Zea mays: one gene and its partner. The protein of the gene in region 1 interacts with the protein of each later gene in a pairwise test. Links are inferred from orthologs where the notes say so. Each region holds a gene or a part of one and is shown on either strand. Other genes may lie near its edges. The genes, in order: IDP798 and WD repeat-containing protein 33.

What was found.
Region 2: the proteins of IDP798 (region 1) and WD repeat-containing protein 33 interact in binary tests that used the Arabidopsis thaliana proteins (3 or more experiments, as listed by UniProt). The link is inferred for Zea mays from reciprocal best matches to the Arabidopsis thaliana genes CPSF100 and FY.

What each region holds. Positions count from the first base shown.
Region 1 is NC_050098.1:233,410,114-233,420,604, reverse strand, and holds the start of IDP798 (Cleavage and polyadenylation specificity factor subunit 2), read left to right. Parts: upstream 1-4,962; 5' UTR 4,963-5,308; coding exon 5,309-5,457; intron 5,458-6,740; coding exon 6,741-6,909; intron 6,910-7,079; coding exon 7,080-7,176; intron 7,177-7,267; coding exon 7,268-7,394; intron 7,395-7,470; coding exon 7,471-7,586; intron 7,587-7,815; coding exon 7,816-7,910; intron 7,911-7,988; coding exon 7,989-8,140; intron 8,141-8,436; coding exon 8,437-8,494; intron 8,495-8,570; coding exon 8,571-8,678; intron 8,679-8,944; coding exon 8,945-9,197; intron 9,198-9,817; coding exon 9,818-9,996; intron 9,997-10,272; coding exon 10,273-10,368; intron 10,369-10,487; coding exon 10,488-10,491. UniProt on the Arabidopsis thaliana protein: CPSF plays a key role in pre-mRNA 3'-end formation, recognizing the AAUAAA signal sequence and interacting with poly(A)polymerase and other factors to bring about cleavage and poly(A) addition. Required for antisense-RNA-mediated gene silencing.
Region 2 is NC_050098.1:151,287,216-151,297,084, forward strand, and holds the start of WD repeat-containing protein 33, read left to right. Parts: upstream 1-785; 5' UTR 786-885; coding exon 886-1,096; intron 1,097-1,354; coding exon 1,355-1,446; intron 1,447-1,651; coding exon 1,652-1,720; intron 1,721-2,129; coding exon 2,130-2,234; intron 2,235-3,865; coding exon 3,866-3,961; intron 3,962-4,038; coding exon 4,039-4,121; intron 4,122-4,218; coding exon 4,219-4,290; intron 4,291-4,370; coding exon 4,371-4,468; intron 4,469-4,927; coding exon 4,928-4,987; intron 4,988-5,055; coding exon 5,056-5,116; intron 5,117-5,189; coding exon 5,190-5,277; intron 5,278-5,469; coding exon 5,470-5,533; intron 5,534-5,762; coding exon 5,763-5,841; intron 5,842-6,027; coding exon 6,028-6,117; intron 6,118-6,288; coding exon 6,289-6,377; intron 6,378-6,633; coding exon 6,634-7,097; intron 7,098-9,869.

The DNA of each region.
Region 1 (10,491 bases):
TCACCTTGACACGGGGCAACTCATGCTTGGTAAAGCGGTTCAGATAATCAAACAGGCGAGACCTAGTGCTCGAAAATGAGGAAAAAACACGGCTCCGTGCCAAAATTACATACACGTTCAGGCCTCGACAGCCACAATGAACGAACTCACTGGCATTCGAAGTGCCATTACAAACGGAAGGCTCTTGTTCGCAGTCCCACTCAAGGGATGCGAACAAGCCATCAAAGCCAAAGAGCGGGCCGCCCCCAAGCGCTCCGGTAGATCCTCGCTGCCGTCGTCACCCCGAATGCGAGGGGGAAGACGGAATGTTGCATCCTAGCTGGACAGCAACAGTTCGCCTTCCCCGGCATGACTGGAGGACAACTCCGTCGCAGCGCGGGAGGACGATTGCCACCACCAGAAGCTGGAAGAGGAGGTGGTTCGCCGACCTGCATGCGAGATAGAGCCCCGGCTCGCCTCGGCCCCCGCCCCAGCGAGGATGACGAACGCACCCGACGCTGAGGGCGGGACCGCAGCCTGGTCTGTCTCCCCCCATCCAGGAGCTGGAGGCCACCGTCTTGGGTGGCCACCGGCGGGAGGGAGCAACCAGGCTGCCTGATGAAAATCCTTGAAGCCGAACGATGGCTGAGAGGTACCAACTCCCATGGAGTTGCGTTCCTCCAACGAGGAGGCGGAAAGGCGGCGGATACCCCCCATCCGGGGGCTTGGAAGACGGGAAGACCCGACGCTTAAGGGAGGAAGAAGACATGGTTGCCTTACGAAGGGAGCCTCCCTCCTTTTAAAGCCAACTCCCCCTACGTGCGCCCCCAAGCGCCGCGGGCCGAGTCTTCTCCAACACGCTCCAAGGCCCTCCCCTGCGACTCGGGGGCTGGGTCCCGCACGTCATGCAAGCCGGCTCAGGGCAGAAGAAGCCAAACCGCCGCGCATGGTGCGCACGACCGTCCAGCGGTTACAGGCGACCCCCCATTTTCGCCCAGACCAACGGGCGGAAGGGGCGGGCAGCCATGCAGGCGGCATGCAACCACGCCAGATGGACGCGCTTCTCCGACTTCTGACACGCCAGCCTGGAACCCAGGCCCACGCGTCGAGCAACCGGCACGCCAGTTGCTGCATGCAAGCAACCGCACCGCCACTTGTGCCACCATCGCGCCTCTTCGGTTGCGAAGCCTGTGCCACGACTCGAGGCGACCCAACAGCGCCAGACTGGCGCGTCGGTCAAAGCGACCGAAAGTGGGCCAGCAGTAATAGCGGTGGCAGGCGGGCGGGCGCAGCAGTCACGTCGTCAGCCAGGCTCACGTCCCATCCTGAGACAGCAAGGGAGCCTCCTCTCACGGCGTGAAGACGGTGCACCCGTGACCCATTCCTCGAACGGATCGCACGCGCGCAACGACCGCCCCGCCAACCACTCACCCCGTCGCATTAACTCCGCGGCGAGACACGCGGCGCTTCTGGCAGGAGGAGCGCGCGACGCTTCACCTTCGCCGTAATAACCGCGTCAGAAAAGGTACGCCATATCGTCCGATTTCGTATCCTTTTCCGTTTTCCTCTTTCTCTATCTCTTGCAACAGGGACCGGGAAAGGGGGATACCCCGAAAGGGATCCTTCTCCGCGAAGGAACCGGGCTCCGAGCCCCCCATTACTGATCAGGGGTTCGAAGGCTGGCCCCCCGAGGGTTCAACAGTCGCCTCAGATCGCGTGGGCCCGACACCCACTACTGGTCAGGGGTTCGAAGGCCAGCCCCCCGAAGGGCTTCATGGCCGCCTCAGGCCACTCGGGCTCCGCGCCCATTACTGATCAGGGGTTCGAAGGCTGGCCCCCGAAGGGTTCACAGTCGCCTCAGACACCGAGCGAGGGATGACCAGGGGTACGTTCGATACATAACCGAGGCTCGGGCTGCGCTCCCGAGGTACCCTAGGACATTTCCGAGACCAGTGGGAACGATCTTGTAACGGAATCCCATCGGAGGGAGGCATCGAGCCCTCGGACCCCGTCGCCAGGGGACCGGGTCCGGCAAATCACCCGCAGGTACTTTTGGGCGTGCCTCTGGGCCCCTAGCCGACCCCAATGAACGGGGCACGGACGTCCACTCGGATTACCCGCTTGCAGCTCACCGGAGACACCATATTCGGTGCCCATCGAGGGTAACATGGCGCACTCCCCCCCTCCTCCTTGCGGAAAGGCGACGTAGGGGCGTATGTAAAAAGCCGAGTCTGTCCCTGATCGTCCTCTCGCCCTGAGCAGAGGCTCGGGGGCTGCTCTCGCAAAAACCGGCTCCGGCCAAATCGTTGACAGCGTCAACATACCAGCCCGAGAGCTTGGGCCCCGACCGTGCACCCGGGCTACGGCCAGTTCGCATGAGGGAACGACCAGACCAGCCAAAGTATTAAGACCTCGAAGGAGTGTAACCACTCCTCCGAGGCCTCGGGGGCTACACCCGGCGGGTGCGCTCGCGCGCACCCACCGGAACGAAATGCAACCGAGAAAGGCTGGTCCCCTTGCAAAAAAGTGCGACAAAAGCCTCCAAGCGAGTGCTAACACTCCCTTCGAGGCTCGGGGGCTACTGTCGGGGACCATAATTAGGGGTACCCTCAAGACGCCTAATTCTCAGCTGGTAACCCCCATCAGCATAAAGCTGCAAAGGCCTGATGGACATGATTAAGTCAGGGATCAGTCCACACGAGTGACTCGATCACGCTTCACCCGAGCCTAGCCTCAGCCGAAGGCAGCCGACCTCGAGAGACTTCCGTCTCGCCCGAGGCCCCCCTTTTTATGGCGGACACATCACCGGCTCGCCCAAGGCCTTGGCTTCGCTCAGAAGCAACCTTGACTAAATCACCACACCGACTGACCAAATTGCAGGGGCATTTAACGCACAGGAGGCCTGACACCTCTATCCTGACACGCGCCTCCGGCAGAGCCGAGGTGACCGCCGTCACTCCACCGCTCCACTGGCCAGTCTGACAGAAGGACAGCGCCGCCTGCGCCACTCCGACTGCAGCGCCACTCGACAGAGTAAGTCTGACAGGCAGTCAGGCCTCGACAAAGGCGCCACGGCGAACTCCGCTCCGCCCGACCCCAGGGCTCGGACTCGGGCTAAGACCCGGAAGACGGCGAACTCCGCTCCGCCCGACCCCAGGGCTCGGACTCGGGCTAAGACCCGGAAGACGGCGAACTCCGCTCCGCCCGACCCCAGGGCTCGGACTCGGGCTAAGACCCGGAAGACGGCGAACTCCGCTCCGCCCGACCCCAAGGCTCGGACTCGGGCTAAGACCCGGAAGACGGCGAACTCCGCTCCGCCCGACCCCAGGGCTCGGACTCGGGCTAAGACCCGGAAGACGACGAAACTCCGCCTCGCCCGACCCCAGGGCTCGGACTCCGCCCTGGCCTCGGCCGAACGACTTCCGCCTCGACCGACCCCTTGGCTCGGGCTCGGCCACGGCAACAGAAGGCAGACTCAACCTCGGCTTCGGAGGAAACCCCACGTCGCCCTACCTAGGGCACAGACCGCCACGTCAACAGTAGGCGCCATCATCATCCCACCCCGAATCGACTCGGGTCACGGAGAACAAGACCGGCGTCTCATCCGGCCAGCTCCGCCAGAGAGGCAATGATGGCGCTCCACAAGCTCCATGACGACGGCGGCCCCCAGCTCTCTTACGGAAGCAGGACGACGTCAGCAGGGACTCGACCGCTCCAACAGCTGTCCCTCCGCCAGGCTCCGCCGCACCTCCGACAGCCACGACATCACGCCAGCAGGGTGCCCAGATCTCTCCGGCTGCCACATTGGCATGTACCTAGGGCGCTAGCTCTCCCTCCGCTAGACACGTAGCACTCTGCTACATCCCCATTGTACACCTGGATCCTCTCCTTACGACTATAAAAGGAAGGACCAGGGCCTTCTCAGAGAAGGTTGGCCGCGCGGGACCGAGGACGGGACAGGCGCTCTCTTGGGACCGCTCGCTTCCCTCACCCGCGTGGACGCTTGTAACCCCCCTACTGCAAGCGCACCTGACCTGGGCGCGGGACGAACACGAAGGCCGCGGGACTTCCACCTCTCTCACGCTCGGCTCCGGCCGCCTCGCCTCTCCCCCCTTCGCGCTCGCCCACGCGCTCGACCCATCTGGGCTGGGGCACGCAGCACACTCACTCGTCGGCTTAGGGACCCCCCTGTCTCGAAACGCCGACACATGTGTAGCCTCACCACCTACCTGAATCACCTAGTCGGTGAGCTTATTTGCAATCCATAAGGTTGTCTTTAGTGGATCGTGTAAAATAGGGGACACAACACTGTAGACGACGTTGTTTGACACTGCTTGTAGAGTAAAGTTTGAAATAGAGGATGATATACGTGATGGAACAAAGGATCAACCGGAGATGACCTAATGCCCTCCGTGGCTCCCACGATCATGCACACTCGAAAATCTCATGCATAGACATCGATAGACATGGACTAATGTAAAAAAAAGTTCATCCAAAATTATTCAGTAACCCAAGTCAATCACTAATTTTAACATAATTGATGAGTTCTTAGGGAGCCACGTTCTTAATATTTTAGTTCTTCACAAACTTGCAGTCCGAACAATTTTATATGTAGCATACAAGTAAGGGCAAAGAATTTGCTAATTTTGATAGAGATCTAAACTTTGTTCCTACTGCATAAAAATGTAACCAATGGCAAAAATGTCAAAGTAGTCATTTCAGGTAGCTACAACTTTACATAGAGTCTACTCCATATAAAGTTGTGGAGTGGAGCAGCAATTTGTAGAGTGGGAGCCATATGGAGTCTCGCCTGCCAATTTAGAATTCTAGGTCTGAATACCACATCAAACAGACTGGTTGAGTAGATCTCTCATTTCATCATCTATTTTAAACTGTACTATACAAATAATATTGTCATATATAGTTTCGATTTTTCTAATTTACGCTATCTATGGAACACAGTCTCAAACCTACGGCCCAAACGGCGCGCTTTCGGCCCGCGATTCCCTCCTAACAACGGAGGGAGGGAGAAGTGGAAAAAATCGCCTCGCTTGTTGGCCTCCGTCAGCCCGCGCCTCCTTCCTCCGTCCTCCGGCTCGGCGGTCCGCCGCCCTCCTTCATCCTCCGGCTGGAGGCCCTCCTCCACCCCCGCCTCGCGGCCCTACACTCTCGTTGGGTCGGCACCCGTGCCTCCCATTCTCTCCTCTTCTCTCGCTCGAGCGCCGCGGCCTCTGCTCGCTCGGTCGAGGCTGAAGGACGGGACAAAGCGCAGATTGACCACCGGGCGTCGGAACCGCCGCCGCTGCCGCCGAAGGGGTTATAAGATCAGATGGGGACTTCGGTGCAGGTGACGCCTCTCAGCGGGGCGTACGGGGAGGGCCCCCTGTGCTACCTACTCGCCGTCGATGGTTTCCGCTTCCTCCTCGACTGCGGATGGACCGACCTCTGCGATACCTCGCAACTTCAACCCCTCGCAAAGTACACATCTTCTTTCTCTCGTGACTTGTCAGCTTAGCTTGTAGTCGATTGAGTTACTAGTGTGGAAGTGGCTCCTGCGCCCGGCGCACATTTTAGTACTCCTTCCGTCCACAAAAGAAGGCAATTCTCCCTTTTCGAGGAGTCACAAATTGAACTTTGACCATAATTACATAAAAATTACAAACAATTGTGGCACAAAATAAGTAGCATTAAATCGATTTAGAAGTATGTTTTCATAATAAACTTAGTTAAAGACATAAATGTTAATACTATTCGTTGTAAACTTGGTCAAAGTTAAACTAGTTGATTCACATATGTCCCATAGTTGCATTCTTTTGTGGACAGAGGGAATACACCTTTTCGACGAATTACCTCTGGTACTGTTTTAAAGGAGTCGCCTATGTGTCTGGGCAGTGGTCCAACGCCTAGGTGCCTTGCTCGCCTACCTCGCCTAGGCACACTCCAACGCCTTGTCTCGCCATACTGCTTTAAAAACCATGACCTCTGGCGGTGTGTCGGGAGTTTAGTTGGCGCTGTGCTCAGATGGATTGGCGACTGGCCCAATGCAATGCGCAACATCGATTTGTTCAGTTGCATTAATCAAGGGACTAAGGGAGTTGTCTAAATTCTGGCTGATGATTGGTGCCTCTGCGTGACTAGTAGATGGAGAGTAGCTCGTGGTTTCTACAGTCCTAGTTTTTTTTGTGCTGCAACCTATGCTATCTCCATCTTGTTTCAATGATTGACTGATGTGCTTGCACATTTATGTGTGCGTGTTGTAGGGTGAATGTTCACAAATCCATGTCCATCCAAAGGTGTAGTCTCCATCTTGTTTCAATTTATGTATGTGTGAATGGCTATTGTGCCACATCTTCTATGCCTAAGGTGTAGTCTAGTGTAATCGACGCACTTGCTCATATCTGTTGTTTCTTGTAAGAGGATGGAAATAAGTCTATCTGACGCTGTAAAACCATGTAGCTCCTTATGTCCAAACTTTGGCCTCTTTGTGTAACACCATGCCAATCACAGTGCATTGCCTTGTCGCTGATTTATCCTTTCACCATTCATTTTCCCGCCATTTGTTGTAATACATCTTATAGATGCAAGGATGCACTCCATTTTTCTTTCCAAAATCTACACTCAGCAGTTGAGTACTTGAGTAAAGGAGATACTTCCCATCACTGCAGATGCATACATGTCATTGGTGTCAATATGCTATTTATCGTCGTAGCAAATTGATTGTTAGTTTTCACTTACACTAATAGGCACTGTACATTTTTCAGGGTTGCACCAACTGTAGATGCTGTTCTTTTGTCACATCCTGACATGATGCATCTAGGAGCTTTGCCTTACGCTATGAAACACCTTGGGCTGTCTGCACCAGTTTATGCAACAGAACCCGTGTTTAGGCTTGGCCTTTTGACCATGTATGACCATTTCCTGTCTCGATGGGTAAGCGTCATGGTGCTTGATATTTTCCTAGGGCGTACACTTTTCAACCACTCCTTTAAAATGCCATATAGTCTCCTTCCCTCCCTCCCAATATGCTAAAGAAAACTGGACTTCACTTTGTAGTCTATATTTGTTCAGTGTACCCTTACCTGTTAATCTTTCTTTTGCAGCAAGTTTCAGACTTTGACTTGTTTACTCTAGATGATGTTGATGCTGCATTCCAAAATGTTGTGAGACTGAAGTACTCACAAAATTACCTTCTGAATGGTCAGTAAGGTCATGATGATTGTACCTTAACAATGATATACATTGTTTTAGCATGCTACACTGCATCTGCTCACATAATATCTTTTGATAGATAAAGGTGAAGGAGTTGTTATTGCTCCACATGTGGCTGGGCATCTTTTGGGGGGGACAGTTTGGAAGATTACAAAAGATGGGGAGGATGTTGTGTATGCTGTTGACTTCAACCATCGGAAAGAGAGGTTAGTTTTTCTCTTTTTTTTCAGAATTAATTTAGTGTTTTAGGCATAAAATACCAAAATTGTTGTATTTTCCCAGGCATTTGAATGGCACCGTTCTTGGATCTTTCGTGCGGCCAGCTGTTCTGATAACTGATGCTTACAATGCTTTGAACAACCAAGGCTATAGAAAAAAGCAGGATCAAGATTTCATTGGTACATTACTTGGCACTGTATCTGCTTTTATTATTCTGTTTCTTTAGACTTTTGCAGTTTAAGCAGTATTCCTAAGTTCTAGCATCTGAGTTTTGTCATCTCATGATGAAGTTCATTCTTGTTTTTTATAGAGCTCCAAAATGATGGGGTTTTTACCTTTTATATAGATATGTGATGCATCCTAGCCATGGTGTTGTACCATCGTCTAATGCCATCATCTTTCATGCAGAATCATTAATTAAAGTTCTGGCAACTGGTGGAAGTGTGCTACTTCCTGTTGACACGGCTGGTAGAGTGTTGGAACTTCTTTTGTTATTGGATATGGTAAAAATCTCTGACACTATTGCTGGACTCTGTATTCCTGTTAGTTCAATAATGTGCTATCGTCTTGTTATGTTACAGTACTGGGATGAAAGGCGATTGCAGTACCCTATCTACTTCCTGACAAATGTGTCGACAAGTACCGTTGATTATGTCAAGAGTTTTCTTGAATGGATGGGTGATCAAATTGCAAAATCTTTTGAAAGCAGTAGAGCCAATGCCTTCTTGTTAAAGTATGACCTCAAACATAAGTTCTAACTAAACCTTTCGTTGGTTCTTTTTGTGCTATGTTCACTTACAAATCCTCTTTTAATGCATATAATGAAGTCACAGTTTTATATTTTCTCATCTGAGTTGTTCAGTTATTAGAACTTAGAAGTCTACATTTGACCTGTACTTTTAGCTTTTTTAACCAATTCTGCCCCTCAGATTTTGGATATTTGTATTAAATGAACAGGTTTTCAATAATAAATTGTGGTCCATCTGATCTGATTCTATTATTAACAACCTTTGATGTTCAATGTCGCAGAAAGGTCACGCTGATAATTAACAAAGAAGAGCTTGAGAAATTGGGAGATGCTCCAAAGGTTAGGGTAGCATAATTATCTGTTTCTCTTTCTCTACTATACTGTTGGAACCTTGAACTAAACACTTATTTAGTAGGTGGTTCTGGCATCCATGGCAAGTTTGGAGGTTGGCTTTTCTCATGACATATTTGTGGAGATGGCAAATGAAGCAAGAAATCTAGTGCTCTTTACTGAGAAGGGACAGGTACATTCCTGTGTGTTGCTCTTGTCATCAATCTTCACATGCTCTCACTAGTTAGCAATCTGAAATGACATGCCACAGGAAGTATTTAAGCTCCCGAATTATGACTGCTTGAGTGCTGACAGTGCTTGCCCACACTTAAACAAATTGAATATGATTATGAAGCCTCACTTTGATCAAACTACCATTCTTTTAATCCTAATGTTCTTTCACTTACAAGCATGAGTATCATTATACAACTACCTGATCAGAAAATATTTGCTCTCCAGTTTGGGACACTGGCTCGAATGCTCCAAGTGGACCCACCCCCTAAAGCTTTAAAGGTCACTATGAGCAAGAGGATTCCTTTGGTGGGTAATGAACTAAAGGCTTATGAAGAAGAGCAAGAACGGATAAAAAAAGAGAAATCGCTAAAGGCTAGCCTTGTCAAAGAAGAGGAGCTAAAGGCTTCTCATGGATCAAACACAAAGGCTTCTGAGCCAATGGTCATTGATGCAAGCTCATCTCGAAAATCTGTGAATGGTATAACACGCCTAGATGTTAATCTCTCTCATAACTTACCACACATGCAACCATAAAATATTTTATTGAAATGACTTACATGCAACCTTAAATATGGCATATCTGTCGATAATGAGTTCTAGAGTACACTTGCTGTTTCTTTGATTCAGCTCTACTTTTTTTCTGCTTGCTTCAGACAATGGCTTGATCAAGTTTGATGTCACTCTTCATGATTACTAGTTATATGCCCGTGCGTTGCAACGGGGTGGGGAAGCGGGTGGAACGATGACTAGACTACAAATATAATTATTGTTTATTTCTAAACATCAAAATATGTGTGGTCTGATAGTTAACCTCAATTTTCTAGAGCAGTCGGCTTGAGTTAGAGTGCTCGCTTTGCACTATTTTTTGCGCGCGCTGAGCGTGGGGAGGGTGAAGCCGTGGTAGCAACATGTGCCCATATTAGGTTCTTAATAGAGAGTAGTATAGATAACTATATTGAAGTAGGCAAGACAATGCTTATGCTAACATTTCTGCCGTTCCATTTAGTTTCTACAAACTTATGCTGTAAGGTTTATTTCTATTTGATGTGACATGTTATGTATAGTTGACTATCATTCTTTACTTTGTGACACTACCAGCTTCACATTTTGGTGGGAACAATGATATTCTCATAGATGGATTTGTCCCTCCTTTAACCAGTGTTGCTCCAATGTTTCCCTTCTTTGAAAACACTGCTGAATGGGACGACTTTGGTGAGGTCATCAACCCTGATGATTATATGATGAAACAAGAAGAAATGGATAATACTCTGATGCTTGTAAGTTTGCTTATACACCCATGTGGCCACATGCCTCTTGAGTCTTTAAAGTTGATCATATGTAAATTACCTGTCTGTCAGATATAGTTATTGTTCATAACACTGAGTTGCATTGACTGGAAGATGACGGTGGTTTCATTGGATCAAATTAGCCAACTCTGTGTTTTCCTTTGTGATAACTGAGATGTTTTGAACAGAACTGGAAATACATGAAACTCGGTATAAGACGACCATCAATTGAATTATTTTGGGTTCTGACAAGCATGTATTCTTCAGGGCCCTGGAGATGGATTAGATGGTAGGATCGATGATGGCTCAGCACGCCTGCTTCTTGATTCAACGCCCTCAAAAGTCATTTCCAACGAGATGACTGTAAGTTTTTCCCTCCTTGTTTTCTTTCATTAGTTTCTGCATCAATTGCAGAGCTAGATATATGTCTATATACAGATTGAAATTTTACACGTGCGCCGGTATACTGAACATTTTTTCAGGTTC
Region 2 (9,869 bases), about 82 Mb from region 1:
AAACACGGGCGTGCGAGTAAACCATGTTAGGTTTTAATAACTTTGATTTGATTGTTACCGGTAACAAGGCACCTATGATGATTTTTATAATATCAAGACTTCTCGGTTCAGTCTGAGTGTTTTGAATGTGTTGAAAAGTGAGTCATCATATTACTTTTCAAAATACATGTCTGTGTGAAAATTTAAGATCTAGATAGCATTGCAGAAAACTGTAACGCCCCGTTTGGATTACTGGAATTGAATTCTATTCCAATAATAATAATTTAGGCATATATCAATTAAGATAATTCGTTTTTATATAAAATATATTTGTATACTATTATTAGCAAGATGTCCTACATATTTATGTGCTACATTTTTACTATAGAGGAGTGGAACGAAGAATGTCATGTAAGTTACAGAGTAGAAACAAATTCTACTCATGTATAAAATCATTTCCTATCCTCCACCCTATGAATTTGAGATAAGCTTATATCTGAACTTTGGAAAGTGGTGGAATACCAAATTCTAAACTAAATAAGTTGCTTTATTGAGTGAATTCCAATTCTTTTAAAATGAAGGATCCAAACGTCCTGGTTGCAAGCTAGTTATGCTCACATTCACCGGTCACCACAGATCGCGCCCCGACTCACGACTGGCTCGTTTATAACTCAAGCGGACTTTGTATCGAGCTAGGCATGAAACACGCGCCGCCGGTCGGCTCGAGTTAGCGGCTGAGCTCAAGCTGGGAACTAGGCTCCCTCGACCTCGGCTCGTCGACAGCCGAACCCATCGTCTCACGGACGCCGAACCCAGAAGCCGCCGACCCCTTTCCCGCCGCACGGATCCAAAACCCTAGCCCCTCCTCGGCGTTTTTCCCCTCCCGGCGACGGCGAGGCGGCGGAGATGATGCGGCAGCAGCAGCAGCAGCTTCCACCTCCGCCGCAGCACCCGCCGCCCCAAGCCTCCTCCGCCGCCGGTGGCGGCGGCGGTGGCGAGTTCTACCGCGGCCCGCCGATGCGGCAGCTGTCCGCGGCGTCCTCCACCAATCTCCCGCCCGACTACGCCGCACACCCGGCCCCCCCGTCACAGCAGCAGCATCAGCCTCCTTACGACGGTAACAGCTAAACATTTCATTCACTGGTAGTCGTTGTTCCCTCCATTCTAGGGTCAGGGGAAGAGTAGGTAGATACCTATATTAGGTCGCAGGTATTGCCTTATTACTGCCAGTCCGTATAAACTCAAGAGTGTGAGATCAACTGCCACTTAAAAGTTAAACATACCGGGAGTTTCTTGAGATTTAACTGTAGACTTCTTGGTCCACCTTTGCATATCATAACTACACAAATCACATTGTAATTTTGATTCTCTGCAGCTTATGGTGACAGTTTTGGTGCTAAAAGGATGCGGAAGCCTGTCCAGCGACGAACAGTGGACTACACAAGCAGTGTTGTCCGTTATGTTCAGGTTGTTTGGATTGCTATTTTTTTGTTTGGATATCCATAATCATACAGAGTTTATTTCGGAGGACTCTGGACTTTGATCCTTTAAAGTTTATATTTTTTCTGTTTCTGTTTATATCTTAGTTTGAATTTGTAATGCATGCTTATCATCTGTTACATGCAGTTTCCATCCCATCAGTAGTGCTGATTTCCACTATGTACAATTGCAGGCTCGCATGTGGCAGCGGGACGCTAGGGATAGATTCACATTGCAGCCAACTCCAGCAGCTGTCCTGGATGTATGTTCCTTCACTCGTAATATGTTAAAAAAATGGAGCGGCAGTTGCCTATGCTATGAGTATTGATTGGTTTAAGCTTTAGAAGATAGTACCTATGTTTGATAAATACCTTCATCTGTATGAAATCACGAGCAATCAGATGTTATACGAAATTCTTACGGATTGAAGTGTTAAATGTGAATCTAGCATACAATGGACACAATACTATTGTGCACCATAATAGTGAAGTTCGACAAAAAGTGCATACGAATAATTATCATGCTAGTAATTCTTCAATTAATCTTAACATGGATAGTTACTCTATGTTAGTATGTTATGCAGAAAATCCCGTTAATCCTAATAACCAATCAAAGATCTTGATGACTAGTTCTTGTTACAAACTTATTTTGATAGCTTTAACGAATTGCAGATGTTACCTTCTGTCGCATATCCAGACAATCCCTCAACAAGTTTTGCTGCCAAATTTGTACATTCGTCAATCAATAAGAACCGGTGCTCTATTAATCGTGTCTTGGTGAGTAACTGAGTATTGTAACCTATTTTTCTGCTTTCTCAATAATCCACATTGAACATTTCGCTGTTATGTACTTGTATTCTCAGAAGTCAAGCAACAGCTTGCTGTTGGTTATACATAAATCCAATTAGCAATACCAAGCGATTATACATAAATGCAATTAGCAACACCAAGGGGAAAAATTAGAGTAGACAGTAGAGATACACCATAGAAGAAACTTGAGCTAAGAGAGGGTCTGAGAGACACATTTATCCTACGTGATTGCAGCAAAATACCATCCTTGAAGCCTTTCTTCCACTTACTGAAATCTGATTGCTTTCCTTCAAAACTATTATTGTTTCCTGACCGCGAAGCTAGCTCTATCAGGATTTCTATGAAATGTAATTCATCTCTAGGTGTATATTTCAACCATATGGATTATGGATTACTATTGTGAAGTTGTTATTTTTAAAAGCCTGTAACTGCTTACAGTTGGATAAATATGCTCATTGATATGCCATTCATGATTAACAATAATACAATATTAGAATCTACCACTTATATCCTGGGCTGATCACTAGTCAGAATTTCAAAATTTGCAATGCTACATGCAAATTACTATTGCATTTTGGTAAATTCATCCAAGCCTTGCCTTGTGATCTTGGTAAAAACTGCTACAAATGAGCATTTATTCTTTTATGCATTAGTACACTCAATGATTTCAAGTCGAGCGACTTGCTAGTCGACACACCTGGGCGACTAGGCGACTAATCGCGATTAGGACGACGACTAGGTCGACTAATCGTGGCTAAGGCAGCAGCAGATTGAAGAGGGGATTCAAGAGGGGGGGACAGATCAAGAGAAAGGTGCAGAGGGGATTCAAGAGGGGGGACAGATCAAAAGAAAGGTGCAGTGATTGAAGTTACCGTCGGTTGATGTACTCATCTTGGTGCTAATGGCTGCTGGGCCGCCGCCGCTGCAGACTGCTGTTGGGCCGCCGCCGTCGAGGACGGTGAGCTGCTGACGCCGAGGAGGAAGGTGCAGGGCTGCCGCCACCGAGGAAAAGGGTGAGCAGGTGAGCACATTGAGGAACAAGGAGGGGGCAGAGGGTACCCACCGGTGTTGCACAGGGAGAGGTGAGCCGCCGCACAGGCACAGCCACCTGAACAGGAGAGAAGAGCAAAAAGCCACCGGAACAGGAGAGGAGAAGGTGACCTAAACCCTAACGTGTGTTTTACTGTTACACTAATGGGCCCAGCCGTCCAGCCCATATCCCAAACAGGCCGAAACAGGAGCCCTGGAAAATTAATCGTCCCGACCTAAACTGGACGACTAATCGTGTTTAGTCGACGACTAATCGGACGACCGGACGATTAGTCGAGCTGATCGGGTCGGCCTCCCTAGTCGTGTTAACAGGACCGACTAGTCCGACTAATCGCGACTAATCGCGATTAGTCGGACGACTTGAAATCACTGAGTACACTACAAACCAGGTAAATATTGTCAAGAAACTGTGCTGTCTTATTAATTTTGTCTATTTTAGTTTGTTGATTATGACAATCTGTAGCATAATTATCACTTTAATCAACATCCATCCACTTCTATTATTTTCATCCACTTGGGGTATAATACAATTTTATTTGTGGATAAAGTGGACCCCTACAGGCCGTCGACTTATCACTGGATCACAAAGTGGTGAATTTACGCTATGGAATGGGCAATCTTTTAACTTTGAAATGATACTTCAGGTATTCCACATTAATTATTTTGGACTTACTAATATGTGATAGTTTTAACTTAGTTTTTGGAGAAATCTGACAATCAGGCTCATGATCTACCTGTGAGATCAATGGTTTGGAGTCACAATGAAAACTGGATGGTGACGGGAGATGATGGTGGTGCAATCAAGTACATGTCCCTTCGCTTTCGTACCTTCAAGAAAAATCGTCATTTTGAACTGTACATTGTTTAACTCTTCAGCTGAACCTTTTGAATTCTTCTCCAGGTATTGGCAAAGTAACATGAACAACGTCAAAGTGAATAAAACAGCTCATAGAGAATCAGTTCGTGGTTTAAGGTGATGGCTGTATGATGCACTTTTTATTGTTTGCTACAAAGTTCATGTTCAATGTGTGCTGAAACATGTCCTTCAAACAGTTTTTCCAGGACAGACTTAAAATTCTGCTCCTGCTCCGATGACCGAACAGTGAAGGTTTGGGACTTCGCAAGATGCCAAGAGGAAAAATCATTAACTGGTAATGTTGCTAAAATTTTCTTGCAAATATTAATCTGGCATACAGCTGATTATTTGAAGTTATTATGTGATATTACGCGAAAGGGCCTTTAGCTGTGTTGGTTAGGTGGTCTGAGTAGCACTTCTCAGGTCTTGAGTTTGACTCCCCGTGTGAGCGAATTTTAGGTTGAGGTTAAAAAAACCCTCTCGTCTGTCCCACGCTAAAGCACAGGCCTAAGGCTCGGCCCTGGTCATGGACTCGCGGTCGTTCTCACATGGGCTACGGTGCCGCGGTGTATGGGTGGGCTACGGTGCCGCTGCGTATGGGTGGGGTAGGGGTTCGGGGTTTTCTCGACCTGCGTGAGAAGATCTTCTTAATGTAATACCTGGGGGCTGTCTTACCCCGTGGGTCGAGTTTTTATTATGTGATATTACTTTGTTTTTTCATCAAATAACCTGAATTTCCCTTCAACTCAGCCAGGCCACGGTTGGGATGTTAAAACTGTCGATTGGCATCCTACAAAGTCTTTACTGGTTTCAGGTTAGTATATGTTTGTTCTTGTTTAATGAGTTTATTCATGCGGGACTTATTCAATTCTGTGTCCATAGGTGGCAAAGACTATCTTGTGAAACTTTGGGATGCAAAAAGTGGCAGAGAGCTGAGCTCATTGTCGGTATTCCTGCCACTTCCATATTTTGTTAATTCTTGAAGATCTGTGTTACATTATGATTTATATCTGCAGCCATGGTCATAAAAATATTGTGCATTGCGTGAAGTGGAATCAGAATGGGAACTGGGTACTGACTGCCTCGAAGGATCAGATTATTAAGGTCTGTTGCTTGTTCTTTTGTACTTTGGTCTGTTTTTCTTGTCTTCAAAGAACTGATGGCAGTGTACACGCTATAACCAAAATTCTAGTGCTGTCTATGGAGATGGGCCAATCCATCCTTGTGAGCAAATGATGGCAGTAAATTATTAACTTTTGGTACGTTTGCTAATGCTATCACTAATTCGTTTTGCAGCTGTATGATATTAGATCCATGAAAGAGCTGCAATCCTTCCGTGGGCACACCAAGGACGTCACTGGTTAGATAGCTGTTCCAATATCAAGATTTTTATAATTTATATACCCCTTCACATATTTTAAGCTTCAAAAATTGACACAAGTTTTGGATGTACTAGTTCATTTGTTCATTGTAACCATACATTCTATGATTGTTAGAACAGTGGCTAAAAAATTTCTAGAAAGGTATGGTGCCCACACTTGTTTGCCAAGGTTGTACTGAATATGTATTCGGTTACTTCATTTTTACAGCATTGGCGTGGCACCCATTTCATGAAGAATATTTTGTTAGTGGGAGCTTTGATGGAGCTATATTTCATTGGTTAGTCGGGTAAGGTATCCATAGCATAATTGAAATTACTGATCTTTGTCACCCTTGGAATTTGCTACTTTGTGCTAAGTTATTCAATTCTTTTCACCCTCCAAGATCGACGTACAACTTTTTATGTCTTTTGTTGTCTGAAAATAATGTCTCAAGTCTCAACTTGATGAGCAAGCTGTTTCATTTTTTTGTCAGCCATGAAGCTCCACAGATTGAAATAAGTAATGCACATGACAGTAGTGTCTGGGATCTTTCGTGGCATCCTGTAGGCTATCTACTTTGCAGGTACTTGGCTTGCTTTTGAATTTTGTATTGTAACACTTTATGACATGTTTGCTTATTTTACTGTAATGCATACATAATCTGAATTTATTTTCAATACAATTTGTTTCATTTGTTTAATGCTTTAGTTGTATGTGAACTCATTAAAAATCAAATATTTGATTTATTTTGTAGTGGAGGCAATGATCACGCTACAAAGTTCTGGTGTAGAAACAGGCCTGGTGATCTTACCCGTGATAGATACAACAGTGGCCAAATGCAAGGTTGCCTTTATTTGAATTTAGCTCGTTATTTCATCTCATTTGTCCTGTTTTGGTCATAAAACAATAACATATTAGACATATACTCTTGCACTTGCATGTACATGTATAATTGTATACACCCCCTTCCAATATCACTATTTAGTTCGTCTATTACTTGCTTCACACAGACAGGTGTTTAATGGTGTTTATGTGCTGCCTTGTGACCTTTTCCTTCCAAAGAAGGAATTCTTAATGCATAGATTATGACTTTTTTCAGGTTTTGGTGACCAACATGCTGCTTTTGGTGCTCGTGGTATGGGTGGATTCCAGATGCCTGAACCTCCAATAACGCCTGGACCATTTGCTCCTGGATTGTCACGCAATGAAGGTACCATCCCTGGCATTGGGGTTGCAATGACCTTGGCAGGCCAGTCTTTTGATGGATCTGATGGAGAGCAGAGGCCATCTATTCCGGGTCTTCCACCTGGGCAACCCCCGCTGCCACCAGGTCCTCATCCATCACTTCTTGGGCAGCAACAACAGTATCAACAGATACCTCAGCAGCAACATCCCCAGTTTTCGCAGCCACCACCTCCGAACATGCCCCAACTGCAGGCACCAGCTCACATGCTTTCACATTCACAAGGATCTCGGCCTACTCTTCCCCAGCTTCCACCAATGGGTGGACCATCAGTGCCATCACAAGTGAACCCACCGCTTCCGCCTATGCCTCACCCAACGGTACTGTTCATTGATACCTTTACAACGTTGTTAAACTGAGGGAGGTACAACTGTTTACTTAGCATGTTCTGTCTTTCTATTTATCTGAGCTGATAAGTGATAATCGAAAACCAAATGCCTCGTCTGCAAACCTTGCAAGTTTGCATCAAAAGACCGTTTTCAGTGAACTTGTTTTTTTTTCTCAAAGAAAAAAAAACTCCAATTGACCTTCAAAATTGTTAGCATGTCTGCTTTAGTTTGAGATAAGCATGAATATGTATGAATTTGATATGACACATGAATACATCTGAGTTTAAGGTGAAGAATTGTTAGAATACCCGTTTAGGGTTTGGGTCTTCCCCGTGTAATGACCATCTCACCCCTCTGTAATGGGCCTGGCCCAGTTTACTCAGCCTATTAATACATCACCCAACCCCTGTTAGGGTTAGGGTTCACATTCCAACATGGTATCAGAGAGCTAGGGTTAGTTTTTTTCCTTCCAGCCGCCGGCCCCCAGCCGCCGGCCTCCCTCTCCCGCCGCCGGCCCCCCAGCCGCCGGCCTCCCTCTCCAGCTGCCGGCCTCCCTCCTCTCCCTCCCAGCCGCCAGCTCCTCCCCTGCTGCCTGCCGCCCCTGCAGTTCGCGCCCCAGCCGCGTCCCCCAGCCGCCATTCCACGAGTACTGCGTCTACGCCGCCGCCTGGTCCGCGCGCCACCCGGACGTCTTCGCGTCGGCCTCCGGAGACCGAACCGCGCGCGTCTGGGACGTCTGGGACCCCGCGCCCACGCTCATCCTGCCCGCGCACGACCACGAGGTGCTCTTGCTCGACTGGGACAAGTACGACCCCTCCATCCTCGCCACCGCCTCCGTCGACAAGTCCATCCGCGTTTGGGACGTGCGCGCGCCGCGGGCGCCCATCGCGCTGCTCGCCGGACACGGCTACGCCGTTAAGCGGGTCCGTTTCTAGCCAACACCGCGCCCCAAGCCTGCAGCGACCCAAGTGCCGCGACGCCCGCGCTCAGGCGCCGCCGCCCCCACCGGCAGCTCGCGCCCATCGACCCCGCGCCGTCCAGGAGCACCCGCCCGGAGGACCCGCGCCCCTGCTGTTCCGCGCCAAGCAGCGCCCCTGCTGTCTCGTGCCGAGGACGCCCGACGCCGAGCACCCAGCCGCCCCTGCTGTTCCGCGCCTGGCTGTCCAGTCCGCGCCTCCCTGCGCCGGCCTGCACCGGTCGCCATGAGCTTTACCTAGCCCGCCGCTCTCGTGACTGTGCGTGTCCTCCTCCACGGCGGCCAGCTCATCCGGGGCATGTTCGTGTCCTTCGATCCAGTCTGGAACCCTATTCTTCGGGACTGCGTCGAGGTCCACCCTCAGGCGGGCCGTCACGTGCCTGGACCGCTTGTCTTCCCACGTGCTGCGATCGCCTCCCTAGCGATTGAGCCCGTGTCATCTCCCTCCCTAGTGCCTCTGTCGGGGCACCTTATTTGGCCCTCTCCGCTCACACCGTACCTTCGCCACTTCCACCTCCCCGAACCACCACCGATTGGGTGGTTGACTCCGGGGCCTCCTTCCACACTACCCCCACCACTAATTCGTTACTCCACTCCCATCCACCCCACCCCTCACATCCTACCTCCATCGTCGTCGGCAGCGGTTCCACCCTCCCAGTCACCTCAGTAGGTACATTGGTTCTTCCAGGACCATTCTGCCTTAACGACGTCCTTGTTGCTCCCGGACTGACTCATCCCCTCCTCTCGGTTTGTCGCTTCACTAGTGACAACCAGTGCTCTATGGAGTTCGACCCCTGGGGCCTCACCATACGCCACCTTCCCACATGCTGTGCTCGCTCGCTGTGACAGCTTCGGCCCCCTCTATTCTCTTCACTTGCCCTCCACTCCCCACACCAGAGTAGCCTCATCTCCTATACTTACTACTACCACCACATCACATGCTCTTGCTACTACCACCACCTCCTCCGCCATTTGGCACCGTCGCCTCGGGCACCCTGGACCTGACGTCATGTCCTAGCTTTCTGGCCTCTCCGACATATCATATACTCGGGGCTCTTTTGAGCGCCTCTGTCATGCTTGTCAGCTCGGCTGTCACTCCCGTCTTCCTTTTTCCACTTCCACGTCCAGGACTGTTCAGGCCTTTGATCTTGTCCACTGTGATCTCTGGACATCTCCTGTCCTTAGCCTCTCCGACTACAAATACTACCTGGTCATTCTGGATGACTACTCCCATTTCCTTTGGACTTTCCCCCTTCGGCTGAAGTCCGACACGTTTACCACCCTCACTCACTTCTTCGCCTGGGTATCCACCCAGTTCCGGCGCCCGGTCCGTGCCCTGCAGTGTGATAATGGCCGCGAGTTCGACAACAACGCCTCCCGCTCTTTCTTCCTCACTCACGGCGTCCAGTTGCGTCTCTCGTGTCCCTACACCTCTGCTTAGAACGGCCGGGCCGAGCGCATGATTCGCACCACCACCAACATGATCCACTGCCTTCTCTTTCAGGCGTCTCTCTCTGCCACCTACTGGGCAGAGGCCCTTCATACCGCCACGCATCTCCTCAACCGTCTTCCCTCGAAGGCGGTGAGCCACCCTACACCTCACTTCGCCCTGTACGGCACAGCCCCTTCCTACGACCACCTGCGCGTGTTCGGCTGTGCCTGCTACCCTAACATTTCCGCTACCGCCCCTAACAAGCTTTCTCCTCGCTCCACTCGCTGCCTCTTCCTCGGCTACTCCCTTGACCACAAGGGGTATCGGTGCCTGGACCTCACCTCCCAGCGCATCA